6 linked regions of the Macaca fascicularis genome follow. The protein of the gene in region 1 interacts with the protein of each later gene in a pairwise test. Links are inferred from orthologs where the notes say so. Each region holds a gene or a part of one and is shown in the gene's direction. Other genes may lie near its edges. The genes, in order: SRPK2, RNPS1, SNIP1, U2AF2, FXR2 and ZSCAN9.

What was found.
Region 2: the proteins of SRPK2 (region 1) and RNPS1 interact in binary tests that used the Homo sapiens proteins (3 or more experiments, as listed by UniProt). The link is inferred for Macaca fascicularis from reciprocal best matches to the Homo sapiens genes SRPK2 and RNPS1.
Region 3: the proteins of SRPK2 (region 1) and SNIP1 interact in binary tests that used the Homo sapiens proteins (3 or more experiments, as listed by UniProt). The link is inferred for Macaca fascicularis from reciprocal best matches to the Homo sapiens genes SRPK2 and SNIP1.
Region 4: the proteins of SRPK2 (region 1) and U2AF2 interact in binary tests that used the Homo sapiens proteins (3 or more experiments, as listed by UniProt). The link is inferred for Macaca fascicularis from reciprocal best matches to the Homo sapiens genes SRPK2 and U2AF2.
Region 5: the proteins of SRPK2 (region 1) and FXR2 interact in binary tests that used the Homo sapiens proteins (3 or more experiments, as listed by UniProt). The link is inferred for Macaca fascicularis from reciprocal best matches to the Homo sapiens genes SRPK2 and FXR2.
Region 6: the proteins of SRPK2 (region 1) and ZSCAN9 interact in binary tests that used the Homo sapiens proteins (3 or more experiments, as listed by UniProt). The two-hybrid records come from large-scale screens. The link is inferred for Macaca fascicularis from reciprocal best matches to the Homo sapiens genes SRPK2 and ZSCAN9.

What each region holds. Positions count from the first base shown.
Region 1 is NC_088377.1:146,659,102-146,662,601, reverse strand, and holds part of SRPK2 (SRSF protein kinase 2), read left to right. Parts: intron 1-2,929; coding exon 2,930-3,095; intron 3,096-3,500. UniProt on the Homo sapiens protein: Serine/arginine-rich protein-specific kinase which specifically phosphorylates its substrates at serine residues located in regions rich in arginine/serine dipeptides, known as RS domains and is involved in the phosphorylation of SR splicing factors and the regulation of splicing.
Region 2 is NC_088394.1:3,040,702-3,044,905, reverse strand, and holds the start of RNPS1 (RNA-binding protein with serine-rich domain 1), read left to right. Parts: upstream 1-1,404; 5' UTR 1,405-1,462; coding exon of another isoform or gene 1,463-1,464; 5' UTR 1,465-2,656; exon of another isoform or gene 2,657-3,394; intron 3,395-4,204. UniProt on the Homo sapiens protein: Part of pre- and post-splicing multiprotein mRNP complexes. Auxiliary component of the splicing-dependent multiprotein exon junction complex (EJC) deposited at splice junction on mRNAs.
Region 3 is NC_088375.1:197,383,772-197,387,271, forward strand, and holds part of SNIP1 (smad nuclear-interacting protein 1), read left to right. Parts: intron 1-1,698; exon of another isoform or gene 1,699-1,706; intron 1,707-3,389; coding exon 3,390-3,500. UniProt on the Homo sapiens protein: Required for pre-mRNA splicing as component of the spliceosome. As a component of the minor spliceosome, involved in the splicing of U12-type introns in pre-mRNAs. Down-regulates NF-kappa-B signaling by competing with RELA for CREBBP/EP300 binding.
Region 4 is NC_088393.1:63,627,017-63,630,649, forward strand, and holds the end of U2AF2 (splicing factor U2AF 65 kDa subunit), read left to right. Parts: intron 1-2,360; coding exon 2,361-2,495; 3' UTR 2,496-3,133; downstream 3,134-3,633. UniProt on the Homo sapiens protein: Plays a role in pre-mRNA splicing and 3'-end processing. By recruiting PRPF19 and the PRP19C/Prp19 complex/NTC/Nineteen complex to the RNA polymerase II C-terminal domain (CTD), and thereby pre-mRNA, may couple transcription to splicing.
Region 5 is NC_088390.1:7,640,283-7,643,213, reverse strand, and holds the end of FXR2 (RNA-binding protein FXR2), read left to right. Parts: exon of another isoform or gene 1-37; coding exon 38-260; exon of another isoform or gene 261-480; coding exon 481-678; exon of another isoform or gene 679-767; coding exon 768-968; exon of another isoform or gene 969-1,062; coding exon 1,063-1,158; exon of another isoform or gene 1,159-1,220; intron 1,221-1,309; coding exon 1,310-1,410; intron 1,411-1,735; coding exon 1,736-1,831; 3' UTR 1,832-2,431; downstream 2,432-2,931. UniProt on the Homo sapiens protein: mRNA-binding protein that acts as a regulator of mRNAs translation and/or stability, and which is required for adult hippocampal neurogenesis. Specifically binds to AU-rich elements (AREs) in the 3'-UTR of target mRNAs.
Region 6 is NC_088378.1:144,973,194-144,977,212, reverse strand, and holds the start of ZSCAN9 (zinc finger and SCAN domain-containing protein 9), read left to right. Parts: upstream 1-1,219; 5' UTR 1,220-1,360; coding exon 1,361-1,933; intron 1,934-2,119; coding exon 2,120-2,252; intron 2,253-2,427; coding exon of another isoform or gene 2,428-2,543; exon of another isoform or gene 2,544-3,629; intron 3,630-4,019. UniProt on the Homo sapiens protein: May be involved in transcriptional regulation.

The sequences.
Region 1 (3,500 bases):
AGTGCAGTGCCATGATGTCAGCTCGCTGTGACCTCTGCCTTGTGCCTCAGCCTCCTGCATAGCTGGGATTACAGGCGTGTGCTACCATGCCTGTGCCACTATGCCTGTGCAGTTTTTTTGTGTTTTTAGTAGAGACAGGGTTTCACCATATTTGCCGGGCTGGTCTTGAACTCCTGGCCTCAAGCGATCTGCCTGCCTCGGCCTCCCGAAGTGCTGGGATTACAAGGCAAGGCCGAGCACAGCCTTGACATTTTAAATGTAATTTAAACATATCCTAATTGCAGTATTGTCCAAAACAGTAAATATTCTAAGGCAAAAAATCAAAAGTCTTAAAATCTTATCCTAGTTTTATCTACTTTACTGGTGCTTACCAGGAACTTGTCAATATCTTATTAAATAATATTTGCCATGCCCATGATTCATCTTGGTTTTTTTTTTGGCCAATTCCCCCACCGCTCATACTCATTTCCTGTCCTGAATTGGTAAGCTCTGTGAGGATATGAGGACTGTAAGCAACATGAAGCCTGGGAGCTTTTATATATCAAACACCTGGAATAATGGCATGTGATAGGACCTCAGCCGATGCACATTCAGTGAATATATATAAAAATACTCCCTAAGGTAAAGTTGTTTTAAATGTTTGTAGGCATTTTGATCCTTTTTAAGAGACAGATACTCCTGTTTTCATTTTCCTTGTAAAATCTTTGTTCCCTCTCACTTACATAATGCTACTTTAAACTTCTACTAACAGTAGGCTAACTACTAATAGCCTGCTGTTGATCAGATGCCTTCCTGATAACAGACTGTCGATTAAACTGGGAATATTTCAGTGTTGGATGATGTGAAACATATAACACTTCCTGTCTCTTGTGAACAAAATGCCCATTCGATTCATTATTTGAATGGTGATTGATGTAATATTTGCTTAACATTTGGAATTTCTAATGCTCATATGAGAACGTGATCTGTTTTGTAAAAATAAATTTTGTTTATGGAAATAATTGAAAAAATTATTCTCCAGTGGAAATAATTATAGAAAAACATTGACCTTGTATTCAGGTCACTGACACTGTAAGTTTTTGATTGATTGTTTTAATATGATAAATATGAATATCTTGGTTCATCACTTTCTTTTAGTATGATGCTGTAGCATTGTCTAGATACTAAGGCTATTTTCTATTTAAATCAAGCCCCCCTTCTCTTGCAGTGTTAAAAATGTATGGACGTCATTAGCCATCAGGGAAATATAGATCAAAACTGTAATGAGATACTGCATATCCACTTGGGTGGATAAAGTAAAAAAGATAGTGTTGTTCAGGGTGAAGAATTGGAACCCTCATACACTGGTGATAGGAATGTAAAATGATGCAGCCACTGTGGAAAACACTTTAGCAGTTTATCAAAAAGCTAAATATAGAGGCACGATATGAGCTAATTATGGTAACTCCTAGGTATATACCTCCCCTCAAAAAAAAAGTATGTTCACACAAAAATGTATACGCAAGTGTGAATAGCAGTATGGCAGTATTATTTTTATAGCCCCTAAAGTGAAAATAACCCAAATGTTCATGAAGTGAAGGAATAAGCAAAATATTTTATCTCCATACAGTGGAATACTATTTGCCAATAAAAATAAGTGAAGTACTAATACATTCAGCACAAGAGTCAAACTTGAAAACATGATGCCAGTTACAAAAAATACTTTATATGATTCCATTTATAGGAAATGTTCAGAATCAGCAAGTAGATGAGTGGTTGCTAAGGGTTAGATGGGGTAGGAGGGATATGGGGAGTGAATGCTAATGAATATGTTGTTTCTTTTTGGAGCAATGAAAGTGTTGTCATTTAAATAGTGGTGATAGTTGCCAGGGGCGGTGGCTCACGCCTGTAATCCCAGCACTTTGGGAGGTCAAGGCAGGTGGATCACAAAGCTCAGGAGTTCGAGACCAGCCTGGCCAATATGGTGAAACCCCGTCTCTACTAAAAATACAAAAAAATTAGCCAGGCGTGATGGTACATGCCTGTAATCCCAGCTCCTTGGGAGGCTGAGGCAGGAGAATTGCTTGAGTCTGGGAGGCAGCGGTTGCAGTGAGCTGAGATCGCGCACTGCACTCCAGCCTGGGTGACAGAGCGAGACTCTGTCTCAAAAAAATAAAAAAAATTAAAAATTAAAAAATAAATAAAAATTTAAAAAATAAATAGTAGTGATAGTCGCACATCTAAAACCCATTGAATTCTATACCTAAAGGGGTCAACTGTATGATACGTGAATATAGTTGTTATTGAAGTATGTATAGTTGACGCTTGAACAGCACAAGGGTTAGAGGTACTGACCAACCCCCTCCAATGGAGTTGAAAATCCGGATCTGGCTTCTGACTTGACTACTGGCATACTGTTGATCAAAATCCTTACTGATGACATGACCAGTTGATTAACGTGTTATATAGCATATTCTTACAATAAAGTAAGCTAGAGAAAAGAAAATGTTAAGACAATCATAAGGAAGATAAAATATACTTACTATTCATTAAGTAGATAGATCATATTCAGTAGATCATCATAAAGGTCTTCATCCTCATCATCTTCGCATTGAGTAGGCTGAGGGGTTGGTCTTGCTGTCTCAGGTGGCAGAGGTGGAAGAAAAAATATGGGTATAAGTGAACCCATGTTGTTCAAGGTTCAACTGTATGTAGATGCATTTGCTTCCATGAGCATAAATAATCTCTGAAATTATACATATTTGTTGCTTATAGAAAGGAGAGCTGGATTCCTATGCAGGTAGTCATGGGAGGGAGATTTTTACTAAATATCCTTTTGTGTTTATCAAACTTTGTACCTTGTCATCGTATTACATGTTTTTCAAATAAATAAAAGTTATATAATGAAGTATTAATAGCTTATCTTCTCTCTTGATTTTACTATATCCAGGTCCTTCAAGGGTTAGATTATCTACACAGTAAGTGCAAGATCATTCATACTGACATAAAGCCAGAAAACATCTTGATGTGTGTGGATGATGCCTATGTGAGAAGAATGGCAGCTGAGGCCACTGAGTGGCAGAAAGCAGGTGCTCCTCCTCCTTCAGGGTCTGCAGGTGAGGGAGCTGAGCTAGCTTCATTTCAGTTTGGGGGCGTTGTGAGCTTGCAAAGTTGCAGTTGTTGAAGGTATCTGAATCAAATGTTACATATAAGGAACTTTTTGGAAAAGTTTAATTGCTGGAAATAACTGCACCCTTTTCTTGAAATGGAAAATACCCCAGCTACATTATATTTTAATGTTAAAATTATTTACTTTTGTCCCCCTTTAAAAGGCCATTTAAATTTGTAGTTGCTGCTTCATCTATATTTGAACATTTTTTTCTGTTGCCCACTTCTCTGCAGAGGAGAACATAGTAACAGCTTTCCTGTAGCTGACCTTTAGTCATCAGAATATTTTTCTAGCTTCAGTTTTGTTACAGTAATTCCTGTTGTCCATTTAGCATAGCTATGTCAATCTGAGT
Region 2 (4,204 bases), on another chromosome or scaffold:
CAGTCAATCCCTCCACAAATAATCAAAGGGCAACGACTACCTAACAGGCACAGCAGTGAACAAAACCCGGCCGGGGGCGGTGGTTCACGCCTGTAAAGTAATCCCAGCACTTTGGGAGGCCAAGGCGAACCTAGGAGCGAGCACTTTTGGAGCGAGCCTGAAAGCCTAGGAGCGGATCACGAGGTCAGAAGTTCGCGACCAGTCTGGCCAACATAGTGAAACCCAGTCTCTAATAAAAATACAAAAAATTAGCCGAGTGTAGTAGTGTGTGCCTGTAATCCCAGCTACTCGGGAGGCGGAGGCAGGAGAACCGCTTGAACCCGGGAGGCGGAGGTTGCAGTGAGCCGAGATCGCACCGCTGCACTTCAGCCTGGGCAACAGTGCGAGACTCTGTCAAAAAAAAAAAATTCCGCCGCGTCAGTGTGGGGCGTTGACGCGGAGCCTCCTGCCTGGGCCCCTACAGCGTCACCCCCTCCTCTGTGCCTGCCAGAGGCGCCACCTCTGGACTCTCCCAGAGTCGGACCCTGGTCGACAGTGTTCCCTGCTCGGACCCTGCACCGGCCGTTAGATGAAGCCTCGGCGCTGCGCCGTTCACACGCTCCGTGCTGCCTCCACTGAGAATTTGGCGCGGGCCTGCGAGCCTGTGCCCCGGCCTCCCTTCCCTGCTTCCAGCGAACCTCGGCGTCTGCTGTTCCCCCGCCGGGCGCGCCCTTCCACTCTAGTCTCAGCGGCAGTGTCACCTGCCCGGAGACGCCCCCCGTTGCACCCCATCTCCCATCCTCAAGCTCGTTGCTCTTCCTGCCCGCACAGCCCGCCTGCAGCGCCCACCCTGGAGGTCCGCCTGCGCGGAGGCCGCGTCCACGAGAGCACCCCAAACGCCACCAGTGGGTTTTGACCGCAGGAACGCAAGTCCTGCCCCAGCCCGTCTCTCCGAGCTACTTCCGCCCTGCAGGCCCCCACGCCCCGCCACGCAAGGCCGCAAAGGCTGCGCACCCCTCCTGTGCGACCACCCTGCCGCCCTCAGCACAGCCGGGCCTGGAGCCCCGCCTCCACCGCCGGCGACAGGGGCCAGAATCGGCCCGGGCGGGTCCAGGGAGCCCGCGCAAGGAAAGGGGCGGGGCACGGCCGCGATAACACCCTCCGCTCCGGACGACGAGCATCGGTTATCGCGCGGCCCTCCCAGGCTCAGCAGGCTACCCATGTGCTCGCTCCAGCAAGCGTGCAGCCAGTCCGGTCAGTCCCAGGGACTTTACCGGCGAGGAGACACCCTGAACGTCCCCAACGCGGCTACCACAAACTGCCTTGACTGTCTAACACTTCCCCGCCGGCGCCCATTGGGCCAGGCGTTTACGTCATCGCTACGCGCCGGACGGCGGCGTCTTCCCGCTCCTTGACTCTGACGTCAGAGCGGCGCCGGCCTCGGAGGCTGAGGAAAGCAGGAGGAGGTGGTGGCGGCGGGAAGATGTAAGTTGGGGCGGAATCCGACCGCATCCGTGTTTCGGGGGCTGCCCGTCAGGCCCGGCAGGACGCATCGTGAAGCCGGTCCACTTCTCAGCCCCGCAGTGCGGCGGTGGCCTGGCAGCGCGGTGCGGGCTCCGAGAAGAAAGAGTGTGGCCCGGGGCGGGCGGAGTGGGAGGTGTCGAGGCCGTGGCCCGGAAGTGATCGGGGCCGCCGCGGACGGAAGGGCGCCTCTGCTTCGTCCGCTCGGCGGTGGCCCAGCCAGGCCCGCGGGACTCGGAGCAGCGGTGAGCGCGGCCTCCGTTCTTGGGGCCCTCCCGCCGGGCCGGAGACCCAAGCCCCCAACGCCAGGCGCTGCCCTGGAAGCGCTTGCGGCCCGGCGCCTGGACGGGGAAGTTGTGAGTGAACGCGGACGGGGAGCGGCGAGGTCGGCGTGTCGGGCCGGTGCCGGCGGGCGCGGAGTTTCTTTGTGGGATGCGGTGGAAGGTCGGCCGATCCATCCTTCGGAGTCATTAATTCAAACGTGTACTCCGCGAACGTTTCCCGGACTCCCGTGTGCAATTGTCGGCGCTAGGCCGTGGGGATACGGCCCACTATGGACCGAACACGGTGTCCGAGCTCAGTTTGATGGGTTATCCCAGAGGGGTGGATACGGGAAGGTTAAGGTTGATGGAGGAGAAACGTGGAGTAGGCTTTTTGTCTTGATTTCTCATGAACTGTGCCTGAAATGTACTCTTAAATGGGGAAGGTGCTCTGAAGATTTATGCCGAAACGCCCTCTCCTCGAGATTTAACTAATTGTTCTCTCCTCTCTCTGGCTGTTGGACGCGCACCTTTCCGGAGGATGGGGGAGGTAACCGAGGTCCTGAGCCGGTACCTGAACTTGGGTGAACAGAGAACCTCAACTTTTGCTTTCTAGCACTCGACCGCACCCAGCGAGCCGTCCGCTTACTCAGTGGTTCTTAGTGTTTGGACTGCTTGAGAATAACTGGTGGTGTTTGATTCCACAAAGTACATTTGGGCAGATCTTTAAGTCTGGGGGGGTGGGGCTGAAATCTGCGGGTGTGACCTCCACTCTAGGTCTGTGCTGTCCAGTGAAGTAGCCATTGGCCACATGTGGCTACTAAGCATGTGAAATACAGCTCATCAAAACTGAAATGTTAAAACACATACCAGTTTTAGAAGACTATGAAAAAAAAGTAAACTTTTATTAGTAGATTTTTATGTTGATTATATGTTGGAAAGATAATATTTTGGATGTGTCAAGTGTTAAAAATTTCACCCATTTTTGTGATGTGGCTACTAAGGAATTTCAGGTGATGCTTGTGGCTCCTCACACTGTTTCTATTGGACATTTCTGCTGCAGGTGATCCTAAGGCAGATGAGTGCAGGAACCCTGCTGAGAGTTCAGAAATTACGTGTGACTTTGGAGACAAATGTCTGGGGGAGGGAGGAGCCTTTACAAATCTTGCTCCTAACATTATTGAGCTTTTCATTAATGCCCTGGGTAACTATAAAGTTGGAATTGTAATTGTCACCATATTGATAAGAAACTTGAGAAAGGTTAAGTGACTTGTCGAAAATTACACCGTAAAACCTCAAATCAAACCCAGGCCCTCTGGTTGCAGACTCTGAATTATACTCTGAATGATACTCACTGACTGTCCGAGGACACCAACAGTGTCGAGGCACTATCTGCTGGGTGTCTGCAGAACCTTACTATTCTAAAGCAAAACATGATACCCCCGGACAAGAGCAGCAGAGGTGGTGTTCGGCCCTCCTTGGCTCATTTGACTGTTTAAAGCCAGGTGCTTTTCTTTCTTGGGTCAGAACACGTTTTCAGCAGCATTTTGAAGCACCCCTGGCAGGTACTGCACAGGGAAACCAGGACCCCATTGGTGTGCTGTGTCCTCCTTACCAACTGGCTCTTGGAGAAGGTGAGACAGAAGTAGCTGAGACTCACATCCTGAGAGCTGCACTTAACAACTCCTGCAGCTTGTGCAGAACTTTACTGGAAATACTGAAGGCGTCCCTGGAAAATAGGGCCCATAACTAATTAGTTTGCTTTTGAGTAATGAGTAACCGCTATTTGAACACATTCTGCAGTCCAGGCATTTTGCTAAACTCTTACATGGCAGGCAGTCTCTCATGCAATTTCAGTGCCTACTTTTTTTTCATCTTATTTTTGAAAAATTTTTAAAGCACAGGAACGTCAAATTATACAATTAATACCCACATAAAGACTACTTAAGGGCCAGGTCTGGTGGCTCACGCCTGTAATCCCAGCACTTTGGGAGGCCAAGGTTGGCAGATGACAAGGTCAGGAGTTGGAGACCAGCCTGGTCAATATGGTGAAACCCTGTCTCTACTAAAAATACAAAAATTAGCCAGGCTTGATGGCAAGCACCTGTAGTCCCAGCTACTCAGGAGGCTGACGCAGAAGAAACGCTTGAACCCAGGAGGTGGAGGTTGCAGTGAGCCAAGATCGTGCCACTGCACTCCAGCCTGGGTGACAGAGCAAGTCTCCATCTCAAAAAAAAACAAAACAAAACTCAGAGGTTAAGAGTCTGTAAGTTATATTTCTGCTGTATTTGCTAGATGGTTTTTATCAATCTTAGTTTTTCTTTCAATCTTAGTTTTTCTCAATCTTAGTTTTTCTTTCAAAGTAAATTGCAGACTTGCATGTATTTTCCCCTACACTCAATATGCATATTATTAAAGTACAGTGCAATTACTGCTTTTTAAAA
Region 3 (3,500 bases), on another chromosome or scaffold:
TGCTTTGTCGTTCAGGCTACAATGCAGTGGCGCCATCTCTGCTCACTGCAACCTTCACTTCCTGGGTTCAAGCGATTCTCCTGCCTCAGCCTCCCAAGTAGCTGGGATTACAGGCATGCACTACCACACCTGGCTAATTTTTGTATTTTTAGTAGAGACGGGGTTTCACAATGTTGGCCAGGCTGGGCTCGAACTCCTGACCGACCTCAAGTGATCTGCCCCCCTTGCTCTCCCAAAGTGCTGGGATTACAGGCGTGAGCCACCATGCCCACCCTATAAGACTTGTTTCTGCTGCCTCTCATGCTCAGTGGCTTGTTTCCATTTCCTTGTGTGTGTCTAGTATTCTTTAGTATTTGAGCCCATGCTTAGAGCTCAAATCTGTTTTTTTTTCTTACCCCACTTTGGAGATTTTTTTCTCATTGGAGATTTTGCCTTGCTTATTGACAGCCCAACAATACATTAAAAATTTAATAAGTATCTAGTTAAATTTAGGTGGGAACATCTCTCCAAGTATTTCATCTGCCAAGTCTATATATAGAAATATCTGGTCTTATTGTGAAACTTGCCCCTTCTCTTTTTTCCTCTCTCATTTAACAATATATTAGATATCTTTCTATGTCATGATCTCTTTCTTTTTCATGGCTGTGAAGTATTCCTTTGTATGAATAGATAATAATTTAACCATTCTACCGTTGCAGGACATTAAGTTGTTTCCAGTTTTTTTATTATGAAATTACAGTAAACACATTGATATGTATGTGTTTGTGCGTTTCTGCTAGTATTTCTGTAGGATTGATTTCTATAAGTGGCATTAGTGGTTGATGAGATTTTGATTAAATACTGTCAAATTGACCTAAATAGGCTATGCTAGTTTATACATGTACCAGCAGTGACTGAAAATACCCATTTTCCTGTGCCTTCCTTTTTGACTGTAGATATTATTGATCTTTTTAATTTTACTAATTCAAGGAGAGAAAATTCATGTTTCTTTTAGAATTTGATGCATTGGTTATTAGGTTAAGCATATCTTCATGCATTTATTGGACATGTATTTCTTTTTTCTTTTTTTTTTTTTTTTTTTTTGAGACAGGGTCTCTGTAGCCCAGGCTGGACTGCAGTGGTATGATCATAGCTCACTTCAGCCTCGACCTCCTGGGCTCAAGTGATCCTCCCACCTCAAATTCTAGAATAGCTGTAATTTTAGATTACAGGTGCATGCTGTCATGCCTGGCTGATTTTTGTATTTTTTGTAGAAGTGGGGTTTTGCCGTGTTGCTCACGCTGGTCTAAACTCCTGAGCTTAAGCAATTCTCCTGCCGTGGCTTCCCAAAGTGCTGGGATTACAGGCGTCACCCACTGTGCTCGGCCCTTGGACATTTATTTCTTCTGAAAATTGTTCATTTTTCTTTCCTTTTTTGTTTTTGAGACAGAGTCTTGCTCTGTCATCCAGGCTGGAGTACAGTGGTGGAATCTCAGCTCACTGCAACCTCTGCCTCCTAGGTTCAAGCAATCCTCCCACCTTAGCCTTCTGAGGAACTGGAACTACAGGCATGCACCACTGTGCCCAGCTGATTTGTGTATTTTTAGTAGAGACGGGGTTTCACCATGTTGCCCAGGCTAGTCTCAAACTCCTGGGCTCAAGCGATCCATTGCCTTGGCCTCCCAAAGTGCTGGGATTACAAGTGTGAGCCACTGGCACCTGGCCATTTGTCAGTTTCTCTGTTGAATTGTTTCTTATTGATATAGTAATATACAGTAGTCCCCCCTTATCTGTGGTTTCACTTTCTACATCTGAAAATATTAAATGGAAAACTCCAGAAAAAAACAACTCATAAAGTTTAAATTGGTCACTATCCTGAGTCATTTGGTGTAAACTTGTGCTGTCCCACCAGGAACATGAATCCTTCCTTTGTCTGGTGTATCTGTGCTGTATGCGCTACCTGCCTGTCCGTCACTTAGTTGTCATCCTGGTTATCAGATAACTGTTGCAGTTTGCAGTGCTTGGATTCAAGTACCTTTATTTTATTTAGTAGTGGCCCCAAAGTGCAATAGCAGTGATTTTGGCAATTAGGAAGGCTAAAGAGAAGCTGTAAAGTGCTTCCTAAACGAAAAGATGAAAGTTCTCAACTTAAAAAAAACTTTTCAAATCCTATATTGAAGTTGCTAAGATCAATAGTAAGAATGAATCTTCTATTGTGAAATTGTGGGGAAGGAAAAAGAAATTCATGCTAGTTTTGCTGTTGTATTTCATACTGTAAAAGTTACAGCCACAGTTCATAAGTGCTTAGTTAAGATGGAAAAGGCATTAAATTTATGGGTGGAAGATGTGAACAGAAATGTGTTACGTTTGATGGCAGTCAGGTTCAGTACTATCCGTGGTTTCAGCCGTCCACCATACTTAGAATGTATCCCCCTAGGACTACTGTCTGGTTTGTGTTGCAGACATTTTCTACCAGGCTGATTTTTTTTCTTCTTTTCTTTTTTTTGAGAAGGAGTTTCACTCTTGTTGCCCAGGCTGGAGTGCAATGGCGCGATCTCGGCTTACTGCAACCTCTGCCTCCCAGGTTCGAGCGATTCTCCTGCCTCAGCCTCCTGAGTAGCTGGGATTACAGGCATGTGCCACCACAGCCGGCTAATTTTGTATTTTTAGAAGAGATGGAGTTTCACCATGTTGGTCAGGCTGATCTGGAACTCCTGACCTCAGGTGATCCGCCTGTCTCGGCCTCCCAAAGTGCTGGGATTATAGGCATGAGCCACCGTGCCTGGCCTAGGCTGATTTTCAATGCTGTCTTTTTCAAGAAATCATGGTATGTTTCTCCATTTCTTCAGATCTTTAAAAAGCCTCTATTTTAATGAATTTTTACAGATTTCTTCTTATATGTCTTTCATGTTTCTTAAGTTTATTCCTAGGTATTGAATTTTTTTTTAACTGTGGAAGTAGGATTTAAAAACTGTTATATTTTCATTTTTGGCATGAGAGAAAGCTAGCTTCTTTCTTTACATATCTTGTACCTGACTACTTAACTCTTAGTTCTATTTTCTGTATATTCTTCCCTGTAAGTTTTCCCATAGTTACCTTTGTTGTGAAAAGGAGGAAATTATTTTTCTTTCTCCTTTCTGGACTAAATAGTCTCTTGTTTTTAGGGCTCTGGACCTGGGCTTGTGCTATTAGGGCTATGGTTGAATAGCAGCATGGGATATCATTTTTGTGGCCTTGCAAGGGAACATAACCACCAGACATAATCTTATTTCTGTGGGAAATGTTGTTCTAAATGCCAAACTCCAAATTACAAAAGACCTTTTGAATATACCTCATTCAAAAAGAACAAGATTTGGGCTGTCTTTAGATTGTGCACTGTGTTAAAATTACAGAATCTGTTTGAATTTCAGGAGCGTGAGGATCATCCCCGGAGAGGACGGGAGGATCGGCAGCACAGGGAACCATCAGAACAGGAACACAGGAGAGCTAGGAAAAGTGACCGGTACAGACACCGGGGCCAT
Region 4 (3,633 bases), on another chromosome or scaffold:
CCAGGTGTGGTGGCGCATGCCTGTAATCCCAGCTACTCAGGAGGCTGAGGCAGGAGAATTACTTGAACCCGGGAGGCGGAGGTTGCAGTGAGCCAAGATTGCGCCACTGCACTCCCAGCCTGGGTGACAGAGCAAGACTCGGTCTCAGAAAAAAAAGAAATTACTGCATTGTATTCCTGTTTTCTTCTTAAATTTTTTGTTACATGTCTTTTCAAATGTACCTGAAAGTAGAGACTATGATAGTGATGAGTGTTTATCATAGTATATGTGCTAATATTTTGGTGTTCCTTCATCTGGCTTCAAGTTACCAATATTTTGTCATTCTTAGTTTTCATATTCAGCTTATTTCTCCCCCCTCCTCTTTTTTCTTTGCTGATTTTAAAGCATATCAGAGATATTTCATCTGAGATCATTAAGTATGTTTCTGTAATTTCTCAACTAACATTTGGGTCAGATAACTTCTCTGGGGGGGCCTGCGCTGTGCGTTGTAGGATATTGAGATGTATCCCCACCCTCCACCCACCAGATGCAGGAGCACTGCTCCCCGCTTTGAGACACCCAAAAGCATCTCCAAACATTGCTCCGTGTTCCCTGGGGACAACCCCTCCTCCATTTGACAACCATTGCTCTAAGCAGATAACCTTAAAAAATTGTTCTTTTAACAAAACCACAATAGCATGATTAGATTAGCAAAATTCTTTAGTGCCTATTCCATGTTCAAATTTTTCTGTCTCAAGAATTTTTTTATTTTATTTTTTGAGACGGAGCCTCGCTCTGTAGCCCAGGCTGGAGTGCAGTGGCGCGATCTCTGACTCACTGCAAGCTCCGCCTCCTGGGTTCACGCCATTCTGCTGCCTCAGCCTCCGGAGTAGCTGGGACTACAGGCAACCGCCACCACGCCCGGCTTTTTTTTTTTTTTGTATTTTCAGTAGAGATGGGGTTTCACTGTGTTAGCCAGGATGGTCTCGATCTGCTGACCTCGTGATCCACTGGTCTTGGTCTCTCAAAGTGCTGGGATTACAGACGTGAGCCAGCGTGCCCGGCCAAGAATTTTTCTTCTTTTTTTGATATGGAGTCTCACTCTGTTGCCCAAGCTGGAGTGCAGTGGCACAATCTTGGCTCACTGCATCCTCCATCTCCCGGGTTAAAGAGTAGTAGCTGGGACAGGCACCCCCCATCATGCCCGGCTAATTTTTTTATTTTCGGTAGAGATGGGGTTTCGCCATGTTGGCCAGGCTGGTCTTGAATTGTTGACCTCAGGTGATCCCCCTGCCTCAGCCTCTCAAAGTACTGGGATTACAGGCGTGAGCCACTGTGCCCAGCCAAGAATATTTTTTATAGTTTGTTTCAGTAAGGATCCAGATCAAGGTCCCTACCTTGAATTTGGTAACAAAAGTTTCTATAATTTATCCTTTGTACCTCTCTCCCCACCTTTTTTTTTTTTTTTTTTTTTTGCAAGCTCTTTTATTTGTTGAAGAAATAAGTTTGGCCGGGCGCGGTGGCTCAAGCCTGTAATCCCAGTACTTTGGGAGGCCGAGGCGGGTGGATCACGAGGTCAGGAGATCGAGACTATCCTGGTTAACATGGTGAAACCCCGTCTCTACTAAAAATACAAAAAACTAGCCAGGCGCGGTGGCGGGCGCCTGTAGTCCCAGCTACTTGGGAGGCTGAGGCAGGAGAATGGCGTAAACCCGGGAGGCGGAGCTTGCAGTGAGCTGAGATCCGGCCACTGCACTCCAGCCTGGAAGACACAGAGAGACTCCGTCTCAAAAAAAAAAAAAAAAAAAAAAGAAGTTCATCTGCTGTATAGGATTTTCAGTGTTCATGTAGGCTCATTGTATTCTTCCCTCCCTCCATTTTCCTCTAAATTGGTTTAAGTAAGGTTAGAAGCTGGAAGAGATCAAGATTCAAGTTTTTAAATTTTAGTCAACCTGAGTTTGAATCCTAATTTCTGAGCTTCCCTTAGCCCATTTATTGTTGGGAGAACATGGCTGTTGGGGTGGTTCTGGGAGCGCCCACCATGGTGGCTCGTGTGGAGTAGACGCTTAGCGCAAGGGACCCCTCCCCACGGTGAGCTCGTCTAGGCCTGCCCTCTATGGCTCTGCTGACTCGCCAGCGTGTCTCTCTGTTCTTTCTCCTCCTCCATGCCTATGGTGTGTCTTTGCTTTTTTTTTTTTTGATCCTGGAGGATGTTTGGGTAAACTTCACCGAACCTGCACTAAGGGTTCCTTTCTGACGCCTGTGGCGAAGCCCCCTCCTCCCTGTCCCTTCTGCCTTCAGTTCCGGGGTTGGGTGGGTGCTGGCTGGCTGGCTGCTAGGCTTGAGCCTTGTTCACAAACCTGCCTCTCCTTTCCCCACAGATCTTTGTGGAGTTCACCTCTGTGTTTGACTGCCAGAAAGCCATGCAGGGCCTGACGGGCCGCAAGTTCGCCAACAGAGTGGTTGTCACAAAATACTGTGACCCCGACTCTTATCACCGCCGGGACTTCTGGTAGAGGCGGCTGGGGGAGGGTGGGGGCAGGGCTGGCTGGGGGCTTCTCCCCACTCCCGCCCCCCCCTTATCCCCCTCTGAAGACGATGGGCAGAGGAGTGACAGCCGCAGACACACGACAGCCGGCAGCAACTGGAATGGCAGCAATTAAGGGTGGGGGGCGGGGGTTGGGGGGTTAGGGCAGGGAGGGGACTGGGGAAGTGCGCACACAGCCCACACAGACAACACGCACCCACACAGACACAGAGGGAAGGGGTTGGGATGGGGACAGGGTGCACAGCAGGGCGGGGTAGGACCCCAGCCCCTCCCAAAACAGCCTCTCCTCCCTTAGACCCCCTTTCTCCTCCCCTTCCCCACGGTAGGAACATAGCGTGTTTATATTTTATGGCCAAACTATTCTGAATTTTGTTGTCCGGCCCTCAGTGCCCTGCCCTCTCCCTTCCCAGGACCACAGCTCTGTTCCTTCGGCCTGTGGTCCTCTCTGGTCCCCTCCTGGGTTTCTTACGTAGTTGATTTTTCCTCTTTAGTCTCCCCCGACCTGCGCCCAGCCCCGTGGCCCCTGCCCCTCTCCTACTCTCTGTGGCAGTTTCATATTTGCTAAGACGAATTTGCTCATTAAACATTTTGTTGTATTTTACTTTATCGAGCGGCTGTGTGTCCAGTGTGTCCGACCCTCTTCCTCGGTTCTGGGCTCGGGTGGCGGTTCCCTTGCAAACTGTGGGCCCCTGATGGGGACGCCCTGGTGCCGGCGCCGGCACCCTCGGGGCCTTCCCTGCTTGCGCGGCGCGCTCCTCGGGGTCGGCACAGGCATAGTCCCGGGGGGCGTGAGGTTCCCGAGTGCTCTCCCACCCCGCCGACAGGAGGGAGGGTGGCCGAGCGGGCCGGGGCGGGCGCGGCGTGGGTGCGCCAGGAGCTCCGCGGTTGCCGCCAAGCCAGCTTGAGGGGACCCCCGGCGCCCGCTGAGCACCCCGCGGAGCCCCCACGGCAGCGGGTGGAAATGACGTAAGGCGCCTAGCAACGGGGGCCAGCGCGCCGGAAGTGATGCCTTCCAGGTTGGCTTGGCTGCGGAAGCGACTCCCGCCAGGGCGGGGCGCGGCACGGGAGGGCGGGGAACGCAGCAATTTCCGCTTCCGGTCCGTCGC
Region 5 (2,931 bases), on another chromosome or scaffold:
CTCCTTTCGCTTCTTCTTCCGTCTTTTACCCAACCAGGAGGTAGAGCAGCTTCGCTTGGAGAGGTTGCAAATTGATGAGCAGCTTCGGCAGATTGGGCTGGGCTTTCGCCCTCCTGGGAGTGGGCGGGGCAGCGGTGGCAGTGACAAGGCTGGATATAGCACCGATGAGAGCTCCTCCTCCTCCCTCCATGCGACTCGAACCTATGGGGGCAGCTATGGGGGCCGTGGCCGTGGCCGGAGGACAGGCGGTCCTGCCTATGGTGAGACAGCTTGGGAACAGGAGGCAGGGAGTGGCAGGGCTTGTGGGTAGAGGCAGAGGTCTGGATGGAAGTTTGGGGAAATCTGGGATGGAGATGATAAAGAAGTGATTGATTGGCTGGGGGACTTGTGAGTGAGAGGGAGAATTCTTCCATTTTGGGGAATGTGATGGATCCTGAGGTAGGACGAATGGCCGTGAATAAATCCCACTGTGTTCTTCAGGCCCCAGCTCAGATGTGTCTACAGCTTCAGAGACTGAGTCAGAGAAGAGAGAGGAACCCAACCGAGCTGGGCCTGGCGACAGGGATCCCCCAACCCGAGGGGAAGAAAGCCGGAGGCGGCCGATTGGGGGCCGGGGTAGGGGACCCCCACCTGCCCCCCGGCCCACTTCGAGATATAATTCTTCATCTATTAGCTCAGGTACCAGACAGCTGGGTTCATGAATATGGGCCAAAACAAAAGATGATGGGCACCTGAATGCCACCTTCTCCTCTTCTTCCTCTGACCAGTGCTGAAGGATCCAGACAGTAATCCCTACAGCCTATTGGACACATCTGAACCAGAGCCCCCGGTTGATTCAGAACCTGGGGAACCCCCCCCAGCAAGTGCCAGGCGCCGCCGCTCCCGCCGCCGCCGCACTGATGAAGACAGGACCGTCATGGATGGAGGCCTGGAATCAGATGGGCCCAACATGACAGAGAATGGCCTGGGTGAGGGTGTGCCTGGAGTCTGGAAAGTTAGACATGGGTAGGAATCGAGGGTGAGAGGTTAGATGTGTGACTCTGGTTTTTTCCTGCCCTACAGAAGATGAATCAAGACCTCAACGTCGTAATCGCAGCCGCCGCCGCCGTAACCGTGGTAATCGGACTGATGGTTCTATCAGTGGAGACCGCCAGCCAGGTCAGCCAACTCTGGACACCAGAATCCTTCCTCAGAGCTGAGAGAATGGGATGCTTCCTACCCTGTGAAAATCAGGGGTTCGGGTTCAGTGGGTGTCTTGGGCTGGCTACCAGAATTCCATCTGAAAGTCTTAATCTCCTGCCTTCCCCAGTGACTGTGGCTGACTATATCTCACGAGCAGAGTCTCAGAGCCGCCAGCGGCCACCCCTGGAACGCACTAAACCCTCAGAGGACTCTCTTTCAGGACAGAAGGTAGGCAGGCAAGATGTGATTTACCCATCCCTTTTTTGTTGTTACTCTGGGGCAGAGGGCACAACAAATTTCACAAAGAAATCTCTTACTGAATTGCAGAGGCAGCGGTGTCTGGTGGAGTTTAGACTAGTGTAAACTTTGAATAGGATAGAGAGGAAAGTGTGGTTCACATTTTGTGGATCCCAAGTAAGAGATACTGGATCATGGGGGAACCAACCTCTGGATCACCAAATGCCAGGAGGGCTTGGATGGTAGAAATGTCTCCCACCTGAATTTCTACTCACCGCTTCTTGCTTGTCTGTTTTCTTTTCCACTTTCCCCTCAGGGTGACTCTGTCAGCAAGCTTCCTAAGGGCCCCTCGGAGAATGGGGAGCTCTCCGCCCCCTTGGAGTTGGGTAGTATGGTGAATGGGGTTTCATAAAACCTCCAGCCTGCACCCCTCCCTTCTCCATCTCGCTTGCTGCCCAACACCATGGCCCTCACAGGCCCAACTGACCTGCGCTGGAGCTGCTCTTATCTAGGGGGGAGGGGGGTGGCACAGCAGCTTGGGTACCCCCCAACCTCCAGGAGCTAGTGGAGGGGTGTGTAACAGGGTCATACCCCCTCCCTCTTGTCCACCCTACCCCCAGGGTAAGGGGAGCCTCTCTCCTTCCCCATCAGACTGGATGTGCCTTTATCCTCTAATGCCCCAATCTCTCTCTGAACACCCCCATTCTCCACCTGTTGGTGGGGGGTGCTCCTTGACCCACCCAGATTTGACCGTTCAGGGGGCCTCCCCTGCTATCCCTCCTCCCATCCTGTACCCCCCATTTCTGGGGCCTCATCACTGTGGAAGACGGGGATAGTAAGAGATAAGTGGGTGGGAGGCACGGGGAAGGTTTTGGAGTAGAACCAGGGGTGTGTATGAAGGGGGGTGACAAGGTCCCCCGGGGGAGGGGACCAACCTTGTCTGGTGGATGAGAAGGCGTATTTATTTTTCACTGTACAGTATTTAAAAAGAGAATAAAAAAATCCAAATGGCTCTCTGGCTCCTGTGCCGTTGTCCCCAGTTTGGTCCCTTTGTTTCTCTAGGACTGACCTGCCCTGACCCCCCGCTCCTGTTTTCTGTTCCTCCACACTTGACTTCTCATTGTCTCTTGTCCCAAAGATGGTCTTACTTCTGGGAATTCCTGACATTCCTAAACTCCCCAGGCCCAGGTTCTCCCTCCTGGTCCAGAGGAGGGGGGCTTGTGCCTTGTTGCTTCTCCCCTCCCCCAAGTTTGCTGATGGAGGGAGTTGGGCCACTCCTATACCCTGAGTCACGGCACAGGCTAGGCAGGGCTGCTCAGAGCTGGAGCTGTTCCTGCTAGAAGCTGAGAGCCAAGGCAGGCTGCTTAATCCGATTACCTGAGGCCTGGGGCTTGGGCTGGGCCGTTGGGCAGAATGAGGAGCAGGGTTCCCTGACGGCAGCCTCTGGAGCCTGGGGCCCGGCCTTCTTGGTGGTGTTCTGATCTGGCTCCAGGCTTTTCATCCGGCATGCAC
Region 6 (4,019 bases), on another chromosome or scaffold:
GTCACCTCGGTGAATAACGACAACAGGCTTAGGACTCAGGGAAAGAAACCCCCGGGAGAGGAAGTTAAGGACAGTTAAGACTTTGGCAGCCTTCAAGATGGAGAGCCCGTATACCCTCTTACCTCTAGATTCTAAAAGCAAATTAAGGGGCGTTGAATGGACTGGTTTTAAAGTACAGAATGTGACAGTTCCCGATTTCCTTAGTTCTTTGATTCTCAAACCTTATAATACATACAAATCACTGAGGAGCCCGTTAAAGGTGCATATTCTGGGGCTCCCTGTACTTCTCTCCACCTCCCAATTCAGATTCCCCAGATGTCTGCCACAGAGCCTGTCAAGCTGCAGTTAAGCTGCTGCGCTGTGCTTTCTGACATTTTGGAGACCCACATTTTGGGAACACCCCCGGGGTTTCAGGCGCTGCCCGGGTCTCTGGAGAAAACTTCTCCCTTGGGCTTCTTTGGCTTCTTAGGCTTCTTAGGATTGTCCTCACAAAGAAGTTGACCTTGGGCAATCTACCTAACTTTCCCTGGCTTCCATTTCTTATCTAATGAAATAATTATTACAATAAAACCTCAGTGGGTAATTGTGAGGATGAAATATGGTCTTGTATCTGAAAGCATATTGTAGACTTGTGCAATGTTGACTGTTACTCTTAAGTAGCAGCAGGGCGGTGTGGAAAGCTCCAGGGCTTGGAATCCACCCAAGCCTTTCTTTCTGTAAATTTAGTGTAAATAATACTAACTTTAAGTGGTTGTTTTGAAGATTAATTTAAGAAAACTGAAGTAAATAGTAAAGTAAATGTTGGTTCATTCATTTAGTCGACAGTAATAGTATTTCCATTTATTCTTTCTCTAATTTGATGTTTATACAGTGAGCTCAAACTTTTTATTCAGACTTTCTGAGTGATCTGTGCAGTCCCTAATTCATGGGCTGTTTTCCTCCACGAACTCTGTAAAGTATTATTGCTATTTCTTTTTCACATAAAGAAACAAAGACTGAAAGAAAATTTAAAAACTTGGCACAAGGTCACACAATTAGTAAATGTTAGGATCAGAATAAAACCTAGGTCTGGGTCAGGTGTGGTGGCTGACACCTGTAATCCCAGCACTTTGGGAAGCCAAGGTGGGAGGATCGCTTAAACCCAGGAGTTTGAGGTTGCAGTGAGCTGTGATTATGCCACTGCACTCTAGCCTGGGAAACAGAGTGAAATTCCCTGTTTTTAAAAAAGAAAGAAAGAAAGAAAACCCATATCTGGGTAACTTAAAAGCCTATACTCTTTGCACATTATGAATATATATATATTTCCATTATTTCCATCCTTTGGTCACCAAATCACTTTCAGAGGAGAGCTTTAGGGCCTATGATAAATGCTTATATTATCAGTTTCTGTCATCAGTTATTGTCATTTTTCCATATAAATAATTTATTTTTACTGCTTAGGCAGGCGCCTCCAAGGTTTGTCTTGAAGCATAGCTGCAGTTGGAGGGTACCTTTTAAGTTGTTCAAGGTCAAGATGAATACAAACTCAAAGGAGGTTTTATCCCTGGGTGTTCAAGTTCCCCAGGCATGGGAAGAACTTCTGACAATGAAAGTGGAAGCAAAAAGTCACCTCCAAAGGCAGGAATCCAGATTGAAACGCAATAATCCACTGGCAAGGGAAATCTTCCGAAGGCACTTTCGACAGCTGTGCTACCAAGAGACCCCTGGACCAAGGGAGGCTCTTACCCGACTCCAGGAACTTTGCTACCAGTGGTTGAGGCCACAAGTGAGCACAAAGGAGCAGATTTTGGATCTGCTGGTGCTGGAGCAGTTTCTGTCCATCCTGCCCAAGGAGCTCCAGGACTGGGTGAGGGAACACTGTCCAGAGAGTGGAGAAGAGGCTGTGATTTTGCTGGAGGATCTGGAGAGAGAGCTCGATGAACCACAACACGAGGTAGGAAGGGAGATTTGCTAGAGAAAAAAGTGTATTTTGGCATGCCAAGAATCCTTGTATCCTCTGCTTTGTGTCTCCTTGACATTGGTGACAAAATACTCTCCTTCCTGTTTCCTTCTTTTTTGGAAGTGTTTATTTCAGACAGTTAATTTCTTCAAAAGTCAAATCTTGTCTTTTTGTCTCCAGATGGTAACCCACAGACACAGACAAGAAGTCCTCTCTAAAGAGATGGTGCCTCTAGCAGAGCAGACACCACTGAGCCTTCAGTCCCAGCCCACACGTGACTCTGCTCTGAAGTGCCATTCTATTGGAGAGACAGGTGAGGGACAGCATTTATTTGATGTTGAACGAATCTCACCTGGTCAAGCAAAAACAAACAATAAACCCAGAGCTGGGAAAACAGGAGATCCAAAGACTCCTTACCAGATAGCAGCAATGTTCAGTGCTTCTTAGACCCTAGTGTGCTCATCTTTGACCCTTCTCCCTGTGTGCAGACTTCTCTCTGAGTACCATCCTGGAAGCTCTCTGGAGTTCTGATGCATGGTACATGAGGAAGGCTTTCAGGGATCGCTGTGGAGCACAGCTTCAGAGAATGGACTTCAAGGTTTGACAGACAGGTTCAGATCCTGGCATCGCCTCATGGAAGCTGCTTGTATTGGGCAGATTACTTAACCACTTGACCTCAGATCCCTCATCTACAAAATGGGGTTGATAATAGCTTTGGTTTAGTCTACTTGCGCTGCCTTAAGAGAATACCACAGACTGGTTGTCTTTAACAGAAATTTATTTTCTCACATTTCTGAAGGCTAGTAGTCCAAGATCAAGATGCTATCAGGTTTGGTTTCTGGTGAGGCCTCTTTCTGGCTTATAGATGGCCATCTTCTTGCTGTATCCTCACATGGCCTTTCTTTGTGTGCATACAGAGAGAGAGGAAGCTCTCTCATCTTCTTATAAGGACAGATACCATTCCTACCAGATAGAGCCCTACCTTATAACCTCATTTAACTTTTAGTACCTCCCTCAAGACCCTATCTTCAACTATAATCATATTGAGGGTTAGGACCTCAACATATGTGAGGGAATACAATTTAGTCCATAACCAGTATGTACCTCAGAAAGTCATTGTGAGCATCAAATACAAACAATTTATGAAAAGCACCTGGCATGCATTATGCTTAATACGTGGTCGCTATTGCCACAAATCACCAGTGCCACCCTTGCTGATTTGGGTTCATAGTTGCAGTAGAAAGATATGAGATATGCTTAGTAAGTGGCAGACTGTATGGGAGAATCCAGTGAAATCAGACTTTACCATTTCCTTCTCTGTAATCTTCTGAATGGTGGCAGTGGCCACCCTTGTGGATATAGATCTGAGCACTTGGGACTGAATCAGCTGCTTCCCCATTCTAGCCCTCCCTGCAGGAATTATCTCCAGCTTGTCTGATTTCCCACACATAAAATCATACCCTCTTACTGACTTTTTGTTAATCTTCTGACAATCAATCTGTAGCAAGGTTCTGCTGTTTTCAGTTTCATACTACCCCCATATGCATCAAAGCTGCAAATTCCCTTGCCTCTTTGTCTCTAGCTTCTGTTTATTTCATTTACCCTAGCAATTATGGATTTCTGTTACATGGAACACATCTCTCGATTTAAATTAAAGTGTATGTGTTGAATAAATTCTGTGCAGACCTTCCTATAGCTCCCATGACTTTATCAGATTAAAATTGCTTCTGATATCATTTTTCCTCTTTATGAACATCTTTCCAGTCAATTTCTTTTTTTTTTTTTTTTTTGAGACGGAGTCTCACGCTGTCGCCCAGGCTGGAATGCAGTGGCCGGATGTCAGCTCACTGCAAGCTCCGCCTCGCCGGTTTACGCCATTCTCCTGCCTCAGCCTCCCGAGTAGCTGGGACTATAGACGCCCGCCACCTCGCCTGGCTAGTTTTTTGTATTTTTTTGTAGAGACGGGGTTTCACCATGTTAGCCAGGGTCGTCTCGATCTCCTGACCTCGTGATCCGGCCGTCTCGGCCTCCCATTGCTAGGATTACAGGCTTGAGCCACCGCGCCCGGCCTCCAGTCAAT